Sus scrofa: one gene and its partners. The protein of the gene in region 4 purifies or fractionates together with the protein of the main gene of each other region. This does not show direct contact. Links are inferred from orthologs where the notes say so. Each region holds a gene or a part of one and is shown on either strand. Other genes may lie near its edges. The genes, in order: EXOC8, EXOC6, EXOC3, EXOC1 and EXOC7.

What was found.
Region 1: the proteins of EXOC1 (region 4) and EXOC8 purify together in Homo sapiens (affinity purification with mass spectrometry; 3 studies listed by BioGRID and IntAct, counting the BioPlex papers as one, with this or other methods). This does not show direct contact. The link is inferred for Sus scrofa from reciprocal best matches to the Homo sapiens genes EXOC1 and EXOC8.
Region 2: the proteins of EXOC1 (region 4) and EXOC6 purify together in Homo sapiens (affinity purification with mass spectrometry; 4 studies listed by BioGRID and IntAct, counting the BioPlex papers as one, with this or other methods). This does not show direct contact. The link is inferred for Sus scrofa from reciprocal best matches to the Homo sapiens genes EXOC1 and EXOC6.
Region 3: the proteins of EXOC1 (region 4) and EXOC3 purify together in Homo sapiens (affinity purification with mass spectrometry; 5 studies listed by BioGRID and IntAct, counting the BioPlex papers as one, with this or other methods). This does not show direct contact. The link is inferred for Sus scrofa from reciprocal best matches to the Homo sapiens genes EXOC1 and EXOC3.
Region 5: the proteins of EXOC1 (region 4) and EXOC7 purify together in Homo sapiens (affinity purification with mass spectrometry; 4 studies listed by BioGRID and IntAct, counting the BioPlex papers as one, with this or other methods). This does not show direct contact. The link is inferred for Sus scrofa from reciprocal best matches to the Homo sapiens genes EXOC1 and EXOC7.

The regions. Positions count from the first base shown.
Region 1 is NC_010456.5:59,191,162-59,195,155, reverse strand, and holds the start of EXOC8 (exocyst complex component 8), read right to left. Parts: upstream 2,812-3,994; 5' UTR 2,610-2,811; coding exon 426-2,609; 3' UTR 1-425. UniProt on the Homo sapiens protein: Component of the exocyst complex involved in the docking of exocytic vesicles with fusion sites on the plasma membrane.
Region 2 is NC_010456.5:104,546,931-104,550,141, reverse strand, and holds the end of EXOC6 (exocyst complex component 6), read right to left. Parts: intron 2,979-3,211; coding exon 2,866-2,978; intron 1,767-2,865; coding exon 1,634-1,766; 3' UTR 504-1,633; downstream 1-503. UniProt on the Homo sapiens protein: Component of the exocyst complex involved in the docking of exocytic vesicles with fusion sites on the plasma membrane.
Region 3 is NC_010458.4:79,727,465-79,731,661, reverse strand, and holds the start of EXOC3 (exocyst complex component 3), read left to right. Parts: upstream 1-1,389; 5' UTR 1,390-1,638; exon of another isoform or gene 1,639-1,812; intron 1,813-2,771; 5' UTR 2,772-2,818; coding exon 2,819-2,962; intron 2,963-4,197. UniProt on the Homo sapiens protein: Component of the exocyst complex involved in the docking of exocytic vesicles with fusion sites on the plasma membrane.
Region 4 is NC_010450.4:55,209,888-55,213,402, reverse strand, and holds part of EXOC1 (exocyst complex component 1), read right to left. Parts: intron 2,901-3,515; coding exon 2,673-2,900; intron 2,261-2,672; coding exon 2,128-2,260; intron 1,517-2,127; coding exon 1,407-1,516; intron 330-1,406; coding exon 276-329; intron 1-275.
Region 5 is NC_010454.4:5,341,482-5,344,996, reverse strand, and holds part of EXOC7 (exocyst complex component 7), read right to left. Parts: intron 2,310-3,515; coding exon 2,142-2,309; intron 1-2,141. UniProt on the Homo sapiens protein: Component of the exocyst complex involved in the docking of exocytic vesicles with fusion sites on the plasma membrane.

The DNA of each region.
Region 1 (3,994 bases), on a different chromosome or scaffold from region 4:
GTTGACCAAAATTTACCCTGAAACCAGTTTTCTCAACTCCTCCTTTCTTTTCCCCAAATTGTTCAACCACATTTTAAGGTGCAGAAGTACACGAGGCAGGAATGGCACTGTGCCCTTTAAGAAACCTAGTGAACTGGGAAACTTTCAAAACACAAGTTGAAATGCTCTGGTGTGACGATATATAGTCATTAGAGAGTTAGCATAATTTAAAAGGAAAGCATATTGTATGTTCTACTAATTCAATGTTTTTGTTACGTGGGTTTAACATGTTTTTCAATCTCCTTTTGATTTTCGCATTTCTGAGAAGGCATCTTTTATTTTTAGGCTGTGTTTGAGACTATAAAGAATACGCTAATGCAACTTAATATAAATATAAATAATATATATAAGCCATATATACGTATACACATAAACAGGTCCAGGTGTCAGACCACTGACGTTGTACTTTCGGGATTCACACGAATCAGTCTCGATGCATTTCTCAGGTCCTGAAGTTGCTTGGCGGGTTTCCCCACACCTTCCTCAAACCTTTTCTCCACCACAGGCAGGACTGTTTCGTACAGAAAGGATGCATTCTGTCTGATAAAATTCTTCTTCTCTGGATCCTGCTCACACCGAAGACTGTAATCCACATGCTGAACAGCAACCAAAATGATTTCCACCAGGCTCTCCAACAGCACCATGTGCAGCTCCGGGAAATACAGCTTCAGCGCCTCTTCCAAGAAGCCCATGGTCTGTTTGGTGAAAGCCACCACCGTGTAACTCAGGTTCACCCAGCAGTCATCCCCCGTGTACTGCTCAAAGTTCCTCACCCCACAGCTCTTCATCTCCTCTTTGAGTTTACCCAGGGCCTCTGGAGTCATCAAGTTCATCCTCCTCCACATCTCCTCTGAGTTGCGATGCTTAGTGGCTTCGATGATGATTTCCTTGTAGCTGTGCAAGGCCCCCTGGATGTCTTTCACCAGGAGGGTGTGGATGATGAAGGTGAGGTCTAGCCCGATGTCACCCAGCTGCTGACAATGCTCCTTGGCCACCTTCACACACTCAGCTGCAGTGGAGAGGCTCTCCTTACTGTCGAACACCTGTTTGCTAAAGGCAGCCGCAAACGTGCCCAGGGCTGACCTCGCCCAGACCACGAAGGCCGAGTAGCAGCCCCCGTCGGTGCCTGCGAAGTCCGCCTCAAACTCCCTGGCCGTCTCGAGAAGGCTGGTGAAGAAGACGTGGCAGAGCTTGTGAATATAGAGTAAGGTGGCACCCTCGATGCGAAGCTGGCGGATTGCGGTATGCACAGCTGCTGCCCTGTTTCTCAAGAACAGCTCGCAAGCCTTAGTGCACTGGCCAAGCCGGATTAGTTGAGAAACGGCCCGACGCGTAGCCTTGGGACCGCCTCTCAGGGACCGATCCGGGGAGAGTTCAAAAACCAGCACCTCGGTGAGCTGGCGGACACGCTCATCCACTCTGGCCCTCAGTTCTTTTACAGCAGGTGGACTGGGCTTATCTTCCAGGTACTGGTTCAACTTATCCAGCAGGTCAACGGCCCCTTCAAAGTCCCTCTGGGCGATGCAAACATCCAGGTCTTCGGGCAATTCCTGGATCCATTCCATTGAGAGGTCCACCTTCTCTTCTTCCGCCTCAGGAACAGCTGGTTCGTCGTCGTCTTCATCTTCAAACGGGTTGCTGGCCTTGGAAGTCACTTGGGGTGGCCCTCGAGGGGCCGCTGCCTCCTCCTGCTCCCTGCGTCTTTTCTCACTGAGGGCCCTCTTGGTTTCCTCCAACACTTCCAGCCACTCGCGTTTGATTTTTGCATTTTCCGCCTGAAAAATACGACTCTCGGGAAACATTAGCAACTTGAACATGTCCTTCATGGGGGGATTGTCCTTGACATTGACTACGGCCAAACCATCCAGGGGATAGAGGGCGTCGTAGCGATACATCCCCCGCCGCTGTGGCAACCAGGTGGCCACCAGCAAACAGTCGTTCATGAGAAAGCCGTGCACTCGCTGCAACTGGGCCATATGATCCGCCTCGTATTCCACCAGGTCCCCGTTGTACACCAGGTACTGTCCCGGCGTCTCCAGCAGGTGCCTGCAGCCTTCCACCTTCTCCAGCAGAGTGGTAAGAGTGCGCTGCTTCCCTTCCTCGCCCGGACCAGAACTGTCGCGGGAGGCGCCCCCGGGACTTGGGAAAAAGCCAGCCTGGCCCCGGAGGTGATCGCGGCCCCCCGCGCTGCCTCCACCCTCCTCCCCTCCGGAGGCGGTGGCGGCCCCAGCAGCGGCTGCGGCGGCGGCCGGCAGCAGGGTGAGCGGGATGCTCTCCAGGTTGCTCTTCTGCTCGGTCAGCAGATGGCTAAGCTGGTACATCTCGCTCTCCAGGTAGGAGATCTCGCGGGCCGTCTCTATGAACTGCCGGTAGTTCTGGTAGACGTTACGCTTCAGGTTCTGCGCCGTCTCCTCCGCCAGCGCCTGGATGCGCTGCCGGTGCTCCTGCAGGTCCCGGTCCCCGTCCGACTGCTGCGAGAGCTGCTTCACGTACAGCCGCGCCTCGAAGCTGCCCGACTCCAGCTGCCGCCGCAGGCGGCTCGCCCCACTGTCTGACATCGCCATCGCCATTTCCGTCGGGGACTCACGTAGTCACTGTCACTATTACTACCGCCGCCGCTGCCGCCGCCGCCACTGTCGAGGCCCACCCAACCCGGCCGAGTCCAGGGCTGAGGAAGCAGGATGGAAGACAGGCGAGTACGCCTGCGCCCGGGTCTGAAGTCCGGACACTGCGCCTGCGCAAGATGCCCCTCGCAAACAGCGCGCCGGCGCAGGGTCGCCAGTGGCCTAGGGCGCATGCGCCGGAGAAGCTCCTGCGGAAGCGAGTGGAGGGCGGAGCAGCGAGGTGTAGATACTGCGCATGGGCCGAGCATGACGTTGATGTTTGACCGTACCCGCGAACCGTAAAGGCGGTATCCGGCTACTTGAAACCTTCCTCGGGCTCAAGCTTCGGGAACCCAAGTGTTGAGCCCACTAGGAGGTGTCATGCTGAATTTTCTTTGTTGTTTTAAGCCCTAGAATCTTGACTGGAGTTCGGGGCACGCTCGGTTCTCTTTCTCGAGCCGGAGTTTACTAGGTCTCGCGAGATCTGTGGCCTGACCCGAGAGTGGCCTGGGAGCTGGTATCTCCTAGGAGCACGGCTAGGCTCTCTGAGCCATCTGGACTCCGCCTGGTAGCCGGGCAGCCATGGATGAGGACCTGGTTCTGGCTCTTCGGCTTCAGGAAGAGTGGAACTTGCAGGTCTCGGAGCGCAATCCGGCCCAGGAGCCCCTGTCGCTGGTGGACGCGTCCTGGGAGTTGGTGGACCCCACGCCGGATTTGCAGGCCCTGTTTGTGCAGTTCAACGATCGTTTCTTCTGGGGCAAACTGGAGGCGGTGGAAGTGAAGTGGAGCGTGCGGATGACGCTGTGAGTGCCGAGCCCGCCGGGACCGGACAGCTGGCGGCCCTTCCGCTGCCCCGGCGCCGGGGCAGTGACCCGGGTCGGGTCTAGGGACAGCCAGCCGTTCTCGGGCTTCCTCTCCCTTCCCTTCCTTCCTCTCTCACTGCCCTTGGTTAGCTCTCAGAAAGCCGTGTGGCCCACCCCGCGGCGATCTGACCGGTAAGGAACACAGTGAGAGAGAAGGATGTTTCTCAGTTTCCAGGAAAATGAGTTCACCCCTTTCCCCTTTCTGATCTAGGACCCAGGAGGGAGAAACAGCCAGAATCGGCCCCTAAAGATGCTGAGGGCGCCGGGAAGTGTGCTGTCCTCAGCTGTGGTCTTTACGGCGCCGCTGCCTTGCAGTGAGCCGTGTGTCAGCTTGGGAAGGGGTCTATGTTTCCATAACTTTGGGACGCGGGGGTCTTCCGGGAGCCCTGTGAAAGGACCCTTTTCTTACCCGCTGAGTTGGAGAAAACCCCTTTTGAAATAAACGACTCCTGTACACCAACGGAGTTAACAAGTTTAAGGTGTAGCTGA
Region 2 (3,211 bases), on a different chromosome or scaffold from region 4:
CAGGGTTATAGTCGCTACAGCGCGCAACTCGAAGTTGGGGGTGGGGGAGAGTGCAGGGTGCTTGTTTTACTGAAAAGAGTAAAGTGAACTCCTCAAATCCATCACTGCTGAGGACCCACAGTGGTCTGCCGCAGGCAGTGCAAAGACAGCATGTCTCTCTCTCCGAATCGAGGATGCCTCAGCCCAAGCTGGAGACGTTCTGAGTGCCCTGGAGGGCTGGGTAAGGCACCCAAGGGACACCACATTCCAGTCCTCAGAGAGAGCTAGCTTTGAGGTGAACTAGCTGTTCACCCATTCTGCTTCTCTTGTAACTTCCAGATTGTATTGTTACCATGTTTTCTATGTAACGTTTTTTAAAATGTTAAATACTTTTGAATAAGAGCTGGCCAAGGGAATATATGATTGTTTTCTTTGCTTTGATGACACTTTCCAATTACCAGAGAATAATAGCCTTTCTGAAGGAAGCAGTTATTTTAAGTGGCTCTAAATAGATACAATAGTAATGAATTTTCAACTTGCTCAACCTTTTTAATATTTCATCACAAAATCAAAAAACATACATGTAATTCTTTACACTTATTTTTACAGAGTCAAACATAAGTTTCTTACAGGCATAAATCCTGAAAATGCAAAAGGACCATTCAGCATAAATACAATGAAGAGAAAGTAAGGATCAGGCTGACATTGCCATTTGGACCGTAGTACTTTACACAGAGTAAATGTACATTCGTTTTGGGTTTTCCAGAGTTCATTCGGTTTGGTTTGTTTCCACAGTAAGGATACAGTACTCAGAGCTGCTCTTTGAAGAAGGTAACCTGACCCCTGTGGTGACTTCTGTGTGTAGGAACACTTCTATCCTAGCACAAGCTGCATCTGAGGTGGTTAGCCGTTTAGTTTCTGTCCTTCTAACTTGAACCAAACCAAACTAAATAAATAGGGTCAGCCACAAACAATATAGTTAGAAATATTAATCCTGCTGAACAGAAACAACATTGCCTCTGTAGAAAATCCAAACACCTTTTCTTCATAGCTTCAGATTAAATTAAACCACCTCAGTAGAACAAATAATTCACATTCTTATTGGGTTAAATCAAGTTTGATTTCAGTGGCCTTTAAAGATTTGTCTATTCCTTCCTCAGAATCAGCAGAATTGGAAAACTTAGTCTACTTAAATCACACTAAGGTAAAAATTCAAGCTAAAAGGTCAGAAAATGAAATATCAGACATAATTGCATTCCAAAACCAGATACTGAGGGAAAAAAAAAAACCCAGAAAAAATCATTTACGTCTAAATAGAAAAAGAATACTTATATGTAGAGACGTAAGTTTTTCTAATATATTTACAATCAGTTTCATATACATTTTGACCTTATTTATATATTACAGTCTTGCCTTTTTTCCCTAAAAGTGAAAAAAATTAATGTCACATTTTCCATATATAAAATAGTATTCAATTATTTAAAAATCCATACAAATGATATTTATAATTGTTTCTTGTTTAAGCTCTCATCAGTGTCTTTTCTCTAATGTATTTTCGAATTCTTCAAACAACTTTCTGTATCATGAGCAGTGCCTGTCAGAGATCAATGATGAGTCACGGATTTGGTGTCACTGAGTGCAAGCGATGTGAAGTCTATGAGTGCTGGGACATACCATTCACCAAACTTCTCAGCTGTTTCACGACTGTCTCTATCAACTTCTGTTTGTCTCGATCATTCTTTCTGAATTGAGCAAATATATTGTTCTTTTTGCTAGTATCCTTCATCCTAGGAATATATGTGAATTATTATGAAATGTTTATTAGTAAAAGGAAATTAAAAGTTGCACTGTCACAAGTAAAATATCTCGGTGTGCTCTGGATTAGCTCACCCTAATCCTATGCTTGAAAAATATACTTCAAAGAAAATAGGTACTACTAATAGAATTACAGAGATAGCAACCACACAGATTATTAGCAGCTTTATTTTGCATTCTATATGAAGTCCTCTTTTTGCATTAGTATGCAAATATAAAGCATGTTAAGTTTTCTCATACCATTCATAAAGTATGCTAAAACATATACCCTCTAGACTTTGCGTATCACTCAGAGCAAGACAGGGTGAAAGCAAAAGTAACACTAGAAAATTTAAAGCAGCAAATTTTTTGCCTCAGTTGTGTTTTATGGCACTGTAAAACAAGTTTACATTTATTTAAAATAGGTATTTGTTTTCTCTCAAATCAAATACACCACAGATATTCTGAAATGTGGGAAAATTGAAAATTGTAATAGTGATATTTAAAGTGAAAAATGATTAAAAAAATGAAATGAAATAGGCTAAAGTGAAAAGAAAACCTGCCACATAATGAGAAGGAAAAGTAGTACCTACAGTTGTGTTATTACTAACTGGAAAGGGCGCGCTGGTTAATTCAGTTTTTATAATATTATTTTTTCAAAACTCATACTTCTCTACCTGTAAAGAATCCAAGCCCATCATGGTAGGATTTAGACAGCACTGGTGGCAAACATTCCAATCCCTGGCTATGTTTTACAAAATACCTTCTTTCCTGTGTTACAGTATTTTTAAAAAATAGTTCCAATTCTCACTTACCTCCAGTAAACGTATTTCTAAAGCCAATTAAGCCAGGTATTGAGGGTACAATAGGAAAAATGTTTTGTTCATATCAACGTAAACAGCAATCTCATATAAAATTACACTGACATTGAAGGCGAGTAAGACAGAGGCTTAAGTTTTGGTCATTGAAAAGAACTGAACTTGGAAGCTCATGGAGACATTTTTCTTTTGATAAAAATCCCTAGTTCTTCAAGTATCACTGAATCGCAAAATGCTTAAATGGTATGCAAAGAAAACTGCAGAATATACTCACTTCTCTAGAAGAGTAAGGGCTGTGTTTGGATTCACCCGAAGGTACTTGGAAGCTGGCTGACCATAATCAGCTAGATAAGTAGACCAGTCCCAAACCATAAACAGATCAAGGAGCTGAGGAAGATGTGGAAACACGTTAAACCAATTTTTGGCTATTTATCTACAGATAATATAAAGTATATGCTGCTCTTGATCCATTTTAATGTGACCTGCTTCTCAGATGGAACATAATAAGGAAATTCATTCTTAAAAACTGCATTAACTACATTTTATAACCAACATAGTGTATAATATCTTTTCACTTTTGAAATTACTAAAATTGTCAGAGGTTGCTTTTCTAATAAAAT
Region 3 (4,197 bases), on a different chromosome or scaffold from region 4:
AGGACACACAGCCACCCCTGCCCACAAGGGCTGTGGCACCCAAGCCATGTTCCTGGAGGTTCAGAGCACCCATCTGTGGCCACTCCCCTGGGACCACGTGCACCAAACTGGTCACGGTTGGTGGACAGGCAGATTAAGCCTTGTTGGTGTGGAATCAGCATCTGGACACCAGCTCTGAGGGGTTTGTGTTCTAAAGGTACCATCATGCTTGGGACCCAGGTCCTGATGTGCCCTGGTCCCTTCCTCTGCTGGGTCGGTGGCAACAAAACTTCCCCCAGTCAGCACTTTTGTGATTTTACAGCCATGCCCCTATGGAAAAATTGTGTGGGGAAGGTGATGATGGAATGTAGAAGGTCAGATCTGGCCATTTCTGTAGGCGTGGCCATTTCTGCTTTAAAATGTCATTACCAGTACTAATTACCGGCTTATATGTTTCTATTGTCTGTAGCTTTTGGCTGTGTAGCTGAGAACATATTAAAATCAAGTATACAGGAATGATATGGAAGGGAAAAGACAAACACAAATTGTATTTTATATTTTTGCAGTTTCTACTGGATGAAAAAAACTTTCAATATGGAGACTGACTCGTTGAATTTTTAAAAATTGGATGCACTATAATGTAACTTTTTGTACTTTTTCTCAGTGCCTTTAGAAAGAGCTTTCAAATGCATTTCTGATACTGTGGTTCTTGTTAAATTCGCAATATGGATGTAAAATAAATGTTAGTATGTGTCTGCTTTAAGTGGAAATGTCTTCTTGATTTTGCAAATGAAGCCCCGCCATCAGATGTTCTAGCTTTGTCTCTGCGAAGTGGTAGTGAGCTGTTCTATGTGCATTTCCTTCCTTCAGTCCATCCCCTGCTGAATACCAGGCCCTGTGATAGTGCTTAAGACACATTAGGAAAAAAAGATGGAGAAATGCGGCTGTGCTGCCGCTGACACCCCTGTGCACGTGTACAGGGGACGGGGTGCAGATAAGTGACCCAAGAGCTGGGTAAATTCTGCAACGCCTCTGGAGGGAACATGGCGGCACAGATGGAACAGCTGGGGTCTTATAGCCAAGCGGCGATTTTGTGGGAAAGGCGGCCTCTGGGCCAAGACGGGGCAGGAGGTGGAGGAGGCCCAGGGACTGGAGGCCCCGCGAGGGCGGGGGCTGGGAGGTTTGGGTTTATAGGGCCACCGCACTGGGGGACTCATACACCTGCCCCCACGTGCCCCCTGCCCCCACGAGCCCAGGCGTGTGCATGTGTGTGCTTGTGCGCCCCGTGTGTGCGGTGTGGCCTGTCTATATGTGGTGTGTGTAGGGTGTCTGCGTGCCTGTGACGTCCGTGAGAGGCGTCTCCGCGCTGGGTGTATGCGCTCGCGCTCCGCCCCTCAGGCTTCAGCCCAGCCGCCCGGTTCCCGGCTCCGCGCTCGTCCCGCAGCCCCGGCCGACTCTCGGCGGGTGCCGGTCGACAGCGGGTCCCGGTCGACAGCGGGTCCCTATCGACAGCGGGTCCCGAAATCTCCCAGCTCTGTGCACAGGGACCCGCCCAACAAAGGTCCCGCCCGCCGGGCCCACCCCCTTCCGGTCACGAGGCCGGAAGCGGAAGTGCCGGTCGCGGCTCACTTCCGGGCGGCGGCGGCGGCGGCTCGCAAGGTGAGGCCGCTGCGGGCGGGTGGCACAGTCCGGGAGTCGCGGTCCGTGGCCGCTGTCCTCTCCCCGGGCTCGGGCGGGTGCGGGCGCGGCCGGAAGGCAGTGCGGGAGGCCGTGGGAGGCCCGGGGACGGTCCGTGGAGAGGCTGACGGCGCGCCAGGCGGTGGGGAGTAGCAGGTGCAGAGCTGCGGGCGCGGCTGGGGGTCCGCGGCGGAGACGGGCGGGGAGACACGCCGGCGCCCCCCAGCCCCGTGTGTCCCGTCGTGTGCGCGGTGCCCTAGTCAGCACCGGGAGGGGAGAGACGGCGCCACAGCACATTCCGAGAGAACACGGAACGCACTCGTGTGCAGACGGGGGAGTTATTTCACAGGTCCCTCAAGGGTCTCCGCGGACCTCGCGTTGCTTTGAGAAATATCTTTGAGAAGCCGTGCGCAGAAAATGTGCATGGAAATGGACTTCAGTAGCTGAAGTCAGTCCTCTGCTTTGCCGAAAGCTCAGCAGGCGTCGCCAGCTCCCTGGCTGGCAGGTTGGAGGAGCTGGCGCTGAAGGCAGGTGTGCTTGTATGCAGCATCTGTGCTGTGTACATTGCATCTGAGCAGAGTGCCTTGTGCCCTCTCACCTCTGTTTACTAGGGCTGTTAAGCAGTAGGGAATGGAATTTTGGGTGCTACAGACAGTGATTTTGAGGGGGATCAGAGGATGGTGCTCAAACTTGAGCAGGCACGGTAAAGTGTGTGCTGTCACTGTGCCTCCATAGCTTTCCTGAGGCGTCCTGGCACCTCGGCCCCACTGGCTAGTCAGGGCTGGTGGCAATTAGAAATTGGACCTGTCCGGGGGAGATTGACATCTGAGGTGCTGAGTAGTCTGGATCCGCATGTTAATATCTTATGCTTGTAATTGCCTCTGCGCCCCTTAGGGATAACACTGGGTTCTGAAGGTTTGTGTTTCATATCAAGGAGGTCATAATCCTAGCTCAGCTGTGTTTCATGTCTATTAGATTAATGATCTCAAATGCTCTCCTTATAGCTCCACTGTGAACAACTGAATGTTACTGGAGCAGGGGGATGCTTTGTACCTGACATCTCTACCTTCCTGACACATCCTCCTCTCCTGTTCTGTCTCTGCCTGTGGACACAGGGTATCCCTAGTATGACAGGTGCAGAGATTCTGCCTGCTCTGTAACCATGAAGGAGACGGACCGGGAGGCTGTTGCAACAGCTGTCCAGAGGGTTGCCGGGATGCTCCAGCGCCCGGACCAGCTGGACAAAGTGGAGCAGTACCGCAGAAGAGAGGCCAGGAAGAAGGCCTCCGTGGAAGCCAGGCTGAAGGTATGAGACTGGAGTGGAGACTGGGGTGGCTGTGGGCGCCTGCTTCACTCTCAGGCTGGACCGAGCCTTTTGTCCCAAGTTCAGGTTCCTGCTTAGCAGAATCATTGTAATTTTGCCGAGCTGGGCTTTGTGATGCCATGAAGAGAGGCAGGCCATGGACTTTGCCTTTGTTAGTGCATCCTTTCCAACAGTTCCTTGCCAGCCGGTAGGTTTATAGAGAAGACCGTGGGAAGATTTAAAAAGCCAGAGGAACAGTCTTTTAAGCACCCAGAAGTGTCCATTTAACTATTTAAAAAAACACTTATTTACTAAAAACTTTCCTTCAGACTGTGTCCAGAGGGCATTTCGTTTGGATCCTGCTAGCACACACAGCAGGAGGCTGACTGTGTGCCAGGCACTCTGCAGGCCCTGGGATGGGAAAGAGGAGAGCTGACCACATTTACTAGAGTGTGTGAGAGTGAGGCAAGAAAGAAAGGCGGCAGCCTTTTATGATTTAGATTGGCTTTCAGCTCATTTCATGTGGAGAGATGAGGTTCTTTTAAAATAATGCACATTTGGTACAGTTATAAAAAAGTTAAGAACCTGGCCTGTTATAGTTGCCTGGCAGCACAGCAGTCTTTGCGGATTTAAGAGAATGCCTTTGATACATGTACACAATGAAATATTACTCAGCCATTAAAAGTAAAGAAAGAATGGCATTTGTAGCAACGTGGTTGGACCAAGAAAATTATCATGCCAAGTGGAGTTAGACAGTGAGACACCAATGTCATATGCTGTCACATGTGGAATTGAAAAAAGGGCACAAGGAACTTCTTTGCATAACAGACACTAACTCACTTTGAAAAACTTTCGGTTTCCAAAGGAGACAGGTTGGGGGTGGGGGGATGGGCTGGGGGTTTGGGATAGAAATGCTGTAAAATTTGGTTGTGATGATTGTTGTACACCTACAAATGGAATAAAATTCATTGAGTTAAAAACACAAAGGGAGAGAATGGCTGTGAGGAAGGTGAATCTTCCCAGCGAGGCGGCAGTGAGGCCCCCTCCAGGTGAAAAGCATTGGTAGCGTCCAGATAATGGCGAGTGTGATGAGATGGAAGGGTGATCACTCATTTGCACCAGCAAAGCATTGAAAGACCTGTTAGGCTGGCTTGAAACAGTTTCATGTCAATTTTAAAAATAGTTTAGACCTGCTACTTTTTTGTGTGTGTGCTTTTTTTAGGGCCGTACCAGTGGTA
Region 4 (3,515 bases):
TCTCTAATCACTTGGCAAAGATTTCTAAATAAACAAAGGAGTGAAAGAATGACAGGAAGGAAGCAGAAGACTGAGATTAAATGCTCCTTTTGGCTCAACTTTTTGTTACCGGCACATTGAAAAAAATGCTACAAATATGGTTAACGGGTAGCTTAGGTTAGCAAATTATAATCTGTAAAGATTCTGCTGCCGTTAAGTTTAGTAAAAGTTACAACAAAAAAAAAAAAAAAAAAAAAAAGAATCAGAGAAGCTGGAGCCAAAGTTGATGTACTCACAGGCACCGAAAGAAAGTAGGACCTGTTATAGAGCTGAAGGAGGGCCTGAGTAAACTAATGGGAAATAAAACACAGTAAATATGACTGCTTCAGAACACTGCAAAGTGAAAAGAAGAATCCAGTGTTTCAGAGAGTATCTCTTGATGAACAAAATTACCCTCAAATTTTTCCCCTAAACCCTATTAAAATAAGAGATAAAGTACACAAAATCTAATTTATTACATATTAAAATATGTTCTGTTCAAATCTAAGGTACTCTTAATAATATTATTAACATTAATTTCATTGCCACACATCAATTATAAGATCCCTTTCCATGTAAAAGTGCAGACAAAGAGCTTATATAAGATTAAACCTACTGGAATTAACAGCCCAGTTAGTCATTTCTCTCTGTCTTTTTTGTTGTTGTTGTTGCAGCATGCAGTGGCTTGATATGGCATCGCTGTTCTCAGACCAGGGATTGAACCCAGGCTGAAGTGGTAAGACTGCCAAGTCTTAACCACTAGGCTACCAGGGAACTCCCTCATTTTTCATATATATAAGTACATGCAGCCAATGGCATACTTAAAGCATGGAATTTAGTCCTAGTTCTCACTCCAAAATATTGAAAAATAAAACAGGTCAAATAGTAAAAAAACTCAGTTTTAGCTAAAAGGAACTAGACTGTCTTCCAAAGGAGGCTGTTGAGGGCCAAAATACATCTATGAGCAAATATGCACATATTTAAAGATATTATAATCAAATGAACGTGTGTAAGAATATACTATGACCCCAATTACACACATTAACATTTTTTGTGGGAATTTAACTTTTTTGTCTTTTTATGGCTGCACCTATGGCATATGGAGGTTCCCAGGCTACGGGCTGAATCAGGGCTGCAGCTGCTGGCCTGCACCACAGCCACAGCAACACCAGATCCAAGCTGAATCTGTGAACCTACACCACAGCTCATGGCAACGCCGGATCCTTAACCCACTGAGCGAGGCCAGGGATCAAACCCACATCCTCATGGAGACTGCTGGGTCCTTAATCTACTGAACCACAATGGGAACTCCTGTGAGAATTTAATTTTAAGCAAATATATGAACAACCTACAGAAAAATGCTAATATTAATAATAAAGTAAAATTACCTGCTGAACAAAAACATTGTTGAGATGACTGGCTAGCCTCCTGGCAAAATGCTCCCGCAAATCACTGAAACGCTGCTGTTGCTGCTTGACTGCCAGAAGCAGGTCGTGGCCTGAAACCATAACATTTCTTGAGTTATTTAATGGGTAAATAGAGCTCCTCCAGGTTTAATGAATACATTTGTAACAGTATTCACACTTCAGTTTTAAAGAACCCAGAGTTTTACTAGTTTATTCGTTTGCTTTAAGAAAGGAAGGTAATGGTTAAGATAGTACAGCACCGGGGTTTCCTCCAGGGTGCCTGCCCCAGCACCATCTGGGGACAGTGAGAGATGTGGATTCTAAGGCTCAGCCCAGACCTACGATTCTGGGCGTGGCATCTGGCAATGTGTACTTTAACAAGCTATCTAGGTGATTTTGATGCCAACTCTAGTTTTTGGACTGCTGGCTTAGCAAAACCACACGTCATCTCCTTTATGCTAGGTTCTGTAGACAGCACTGAAGAAAAATCACGTCAGTGAGAATCATCACTGGTCAATTGGAAGGAACTGATCAAAAACTTCTTAGTGCCAGTACAAATTGAGTTTGAAAATAAATGAAACTTGTTTGAGTAGAATAATGTCACCTGAACAACTTGCCCCATGTGTTTCTTGTCAAGCTTTATACCAAGTCACAGGCTTTACTCAGGTTCAAGGGCAGGTTTCCTGGCCTGCAGTGAACACACCTGGTCGAAGAGCCACATTCATGCACTGCAGGAGGGCGTCCGCGGCATTGGTACAGGCCTCGATGCCCCGTGAGGACGCCAGGTCTCCTTCCTGAAGCGCCTTTATGTGACCTTTGGCCAAGTCCAGGTGGTTCTGGAATATACAATAAATACACCATCTGCACACGTAAGCTTGGGAAATTTACAGGTAAAATGCTACTCAATCCTGCCACTAGGTCTTTGGAATTACAGGGTTTTAAATTTTGCTCCAAGAGAATTTGAAAATGTTTACACACAGGTTTTACATATTATCATGTTTCTTTTTTTTCTTTTTAGGGCTGTACCATCGGCATTCAGAAGTTCTCAGCCTAGGGGCTGAATTGGAGCTGCAGCTCCTGGCCTCCACACCACAGCTCATGGCAAAGCTGGATCCTTAACCCACTGAGCAAGGCCATGGATTGAACCTGTGTCCTCACGGATCCTAGTCGGGTTTGTTACTGCTGAGCCATGATAGGGACTCCCTTTAGATTGCTTTATTGTTGCTGGTAATTTATAATCACACTCACCACAAGGAACTCTATCTCGGACAAAAGTTTGACATTGTTGGTGTTGCTAAGGTGAATCAGGTGGTTGCTCTCTGAGATCTGATCCATTTGCTCTTTCACGCTCTGGAGCATTTCCTCATAGCTGCTCAGCTTCACTTCGATCTGATCCACCTCATCCAGAGCCTCATCCAGCAGCTTCATGAGGGTGTTCACTTGCTTCTCCGAGGCCATGATTGACTGGATGTTGGCCTATGATGTTAAAAAGAAAATACTTCCTACTCTTAGAATGTGTAAAAGAGGGATAAAAGTGAAATAGCAATAAATCTCTTTGACAGCAGAGTAACATAGGCTGATACACACATCTACTCAGCCGCTTTATCAGATTGTGTTTATTTTTATTTCTTTAGGGCTGCACCAGCGGCATGTGGAAGTTCCCAGGCTAGGATTCTAATTGGAGCTGTAGCTGCTGGCCTACACCACAGCCACAACACCATACAAGATCCTTAACCCACTGAGCAAGGCCAGGGATCGAACCCACATCCTCATGGATCCTAGTTGAGTTCGTTAACCACTAAGCCACCAAGGGAACTCCAGACTGTGTTTATATTCCCCCTTTTTATGCAGTATTTCAGGAAAGTATACTGTCCTCTCTATCAAGGCGAGGGACCATGCCTCAGTATTGTGGATCTCTGCAGGCTGAACAAGCATCAGTAATGGTATATGGTGTTTCTGTAAATTGACTGGCAGTAGATTAGGTCATCTCTGACACCTCTTCCAATTCTATCAGCTACAGAATGTTTCTATACTTTGTAATATTGACGTAAAACGCCAAGTGGAGCATCATGATCTCTGTCAATCCCTCCG
Region 5 (3,515 bases), on a different chromosome or scaffold from region 4:
TAAAAACAGCACTGAAAACAGACATGCGCAGCTGCCCTGATAACCAGATGGGCCGGGGCCGGGAAGGCAGCCCTGAGTGGGATCTGGTCCCTTTTCCCTGGAGACGCCCAGGTCCTCCACCGCAGCTCTGAACACGGGGAGCCTGCTGGGGTCCTGGCAGCTCCCCAAAGGACTGAGGGAGAGGGGACGGCGTCTGGAGCGGCTGTTTGTGCCAACCACAATTAGTTACTCATGAGCCAGTGTGCGGCTCCAGCCCGGCACCTGTCTCGCTGTGTTCTCCTCCTTCAGCAAGTAGTCCTGCTAATGAGCGATTCAGATTCCCGCCCCACAACCAACTAGGACCAGATGGGCCCGCCGGGCCATCAGGAGCCTCGCCAGCACACTGGCATGTATGTGGGTCGGGGACGCTGATCTGGCAGCCGCTAAAGCCATCAGGCGCCCAGTTACCACGGATGTCGCTGAGGCTGGTGTCTCGTTACCCCCGAGGCCACCCTGCCCCTCTCCTCAAGAGCTGGGGGCCTGCCTCTAGCTCCCAACATCGGACCTGAGCCCCAAGGTTCCGGACAACCCTTGAAACCCCAAAGAAACCAGAGGGACGCTCACAGCCGGCGTTTTCCTTCTAGGGCTACAGGGCTGGGATGGATGAGGTCCACTGGGAGCCCAAAGATCAGATCTCTGGTCCCTGCATGGCCAGCAGCATCCTGCATGTGGCCTGGGTTCCAGGCCTCCAGGGGTCCCAGAGGAGACAGAGGGGAAGAAAGCACAGCCCGGCCGGGGCCCAGCAGCCTCGTGGAAACAGCCGCAGCCCAATGCACGAGGCACAGGCACGAACCAGGCCTCGAGCAGGCAGCTGCGGCTGCCCTGGCTGGCTTGTAGAGTCCCTGACCGTGGCAGGTTCTCCGAGGGAGCAGCCAGGAGAGCCAAGCTGGAGGGGAAGGCTGTGCACTTTCTGCTGGGCTGCCCGGCCTCTGGACCTCGACGCTGTGCCTCTGCGGGCAGCCTCTGCCATTTCTCTAAGCCCTGAACAAAGCGCTGGGGAGGAGCAGATGCTCGGGCCACTGTGAGCAGATCTCCTGCTCTCTGAGAGGCCGGGCAGCTCGGGAAAACACTGTCCCAAGGGACGGGTCCCAGAGCAGCTGGACGGGGTGGGCGAAAGTGGGAGCAGCCCCAGGGCTCGCTGGCTCTCTCTCCTGGTGCCTGCAGCCCCTCCGCTGGAACCCCCACCCCGGCCTCTCGAAGGCAACCCCTCTCAGCAGCCAGAACAGCCAGGCTTGTCAAGCCGAAGCTGACACACAGGGACACTGTCACCTGGAGCAGAGACTACAGGGGACAGGATGATGGGAAGAAGGACAGACAGTGAGCTGCTCGCCCAGGCCAACCAACAAGCCACAGCCCAGGCCTCTTCCACCTCAATGCCCCTCCCTCAACTCTCCCACCGCAAGGCACCAACTTCTTGCGGAGCCCAAAAGCCAGGTGAGGGTCTTTGGAGAGGATGGCCTGGGATGGTTTTCTTTCTGGACTGACTGTAAAAGCATAAACGTTCCTGTATCTACTTTTTTTTTGCCATGGCTGAGGCATGTGGAAATTCCCGGGCCAGGGATCGAACCTGCGCCACAATAGTAACCAGAGCCACAGCAGTGACAACACCAGATCCTTAACCCTTTGAGCCACCAGGGAACTCCTCTGCTCTCCACTTCTTAGCTACTCATCACTTCAGGCCACTCTGGCTTTCTGGGAGGTGAAGGCTGCAGTGCCTGCCCCTCGCCCTGCACCCCTGACACCCTGCCCCAATCTCACAGCTGGGTGGCAGCAGCATGCCTGGCCTCCCAACAGGACACTAGAGGGAGAGGACGGGGGCCCAATAAGTGGCTCTGCTCCGGCACCCCTGTCACCCCACGTCTCCGTGCTGTGACCCTCCACTCCAAGGACACTTATATAAGCCCTAGACTCGGCTGGGTGGAGAGAGGAGCTCTTTTGGGGGGCGGACACCTGCCTGCTGTCCTGTGCCCCTACAGTCAGGGGCTACCGTGAGGACAAACCCTAGGGCCCTGGCGCCGCCCACCCCGGGGTGGGTGGCCAAAGGCCACCCAGGTCCCACAGCCTTCTGGCGGGTTCTGAAGTGGGCCAGGGCGGGGGCTCACCTGGCCGCTTGACTGGCTTCTTGGTGGGTGTGTCTTTCCTCTTGTTGGGGATGGCGGGGGAGTAGGGAACCCCAGAGGAAGAACTGCTCTTCCGGAAGTGCTCCTTCAGGCCTTTGATGGAGCGGTCCAGCTGGCTCGAGCGGATCTGGTAGTAGACGTTCATGAAATCTGCGGACAGACGGGTGACAGCTGGGTCCCTGCCTCCGCCAGACCCCGGGGCCCCCCTCCCCCGCCAGAGGCAGCTCCAGAGGGCAGCAGCAGGCCCGCTCTTTCCACTTGCAGACCCTTTCCCAGCAGCCTCGTGGCCTCGTCCTGCATCTGGAAAAGCCTTAAAAGGGAAGACATTTCCCCGCAGAACCAATAATTCGTTGTAAGTTCTGAAGGTGAGGGGTTTTTTTTCTTTTAGAATTTTTTTTTATTATAGTTGATCTACAACGTTCTGTCAATTTCTGCTGGGCAGGTAAGTTTTTGAGATTTTAAGAAAATAGAAAATTAGCAGCCGGATTCAACTTGGTAATGTATTCTTTTTTATCTTGTTCAGCCACACCCACGGCACATGGAGGTTTCTGGGCCAGGGATCAAATCTGAGTTGCAGCTTCGAACTATGCCATCGCTGTGGCAACGCTGGGTCCTTAACCACTGCGCTTGCCGGGGATTGAACCTGCGCCACCACTGGATCCTTAATCTACTGTGCCACAGCGGGCACTCCTCGACTTGGTAAATTTATAGGTGGTAAAGAGACAACGAATGTCACTGAGTGAAAAAACACACCATCTCTTTAGCCATGAACGAAGTGCAAATTTAAAAAAACTAGAGGACCGTGGCAGCCCTGTTAAATAGCTAAGATAAGCAAAATTAATGAAGAAGAAATAACTGCAGGGTTGTCAACAGGTCAGCAGACTGGTCCCATCTACCTGGAGAGGAACTCGAGACGGCAAGAAGGTTACAGATCTGTTCAGACAGTTCTACCTGATAACTGTACCTTTGAGAAAATACCCCCAAAGAACTCCCTAAATAAGAAGAGCAATGGGGGTTCCCATCATGGCAAAGAGGAAAGGAATCTGACTAGGAACCATGAGGTTGCAGGTTCGATCCCCCCTGGCCTCGCTCAGAGGGTTAAGGATCCGGCATTGCCATCAGCTGTGGTGTAGGTCACAGATGTGGCTTGGATCCTGCGTTGCTGCAGCTGTGGGGTAGACTGGCAACTGTAGCTCTGATTCAACCCCTAGCCTGGGAACCTCCATATGCCATGGGCGCAGCCCTAAAGAAAACTGGACAATCCAAAAATGCAAACGAGCCTGGAGAAGTATGGATGCTGTGGTACATTTCAGCAGGTCCCAACAAGTGTATCCCAAGGAACCCCATGTGAAAAAC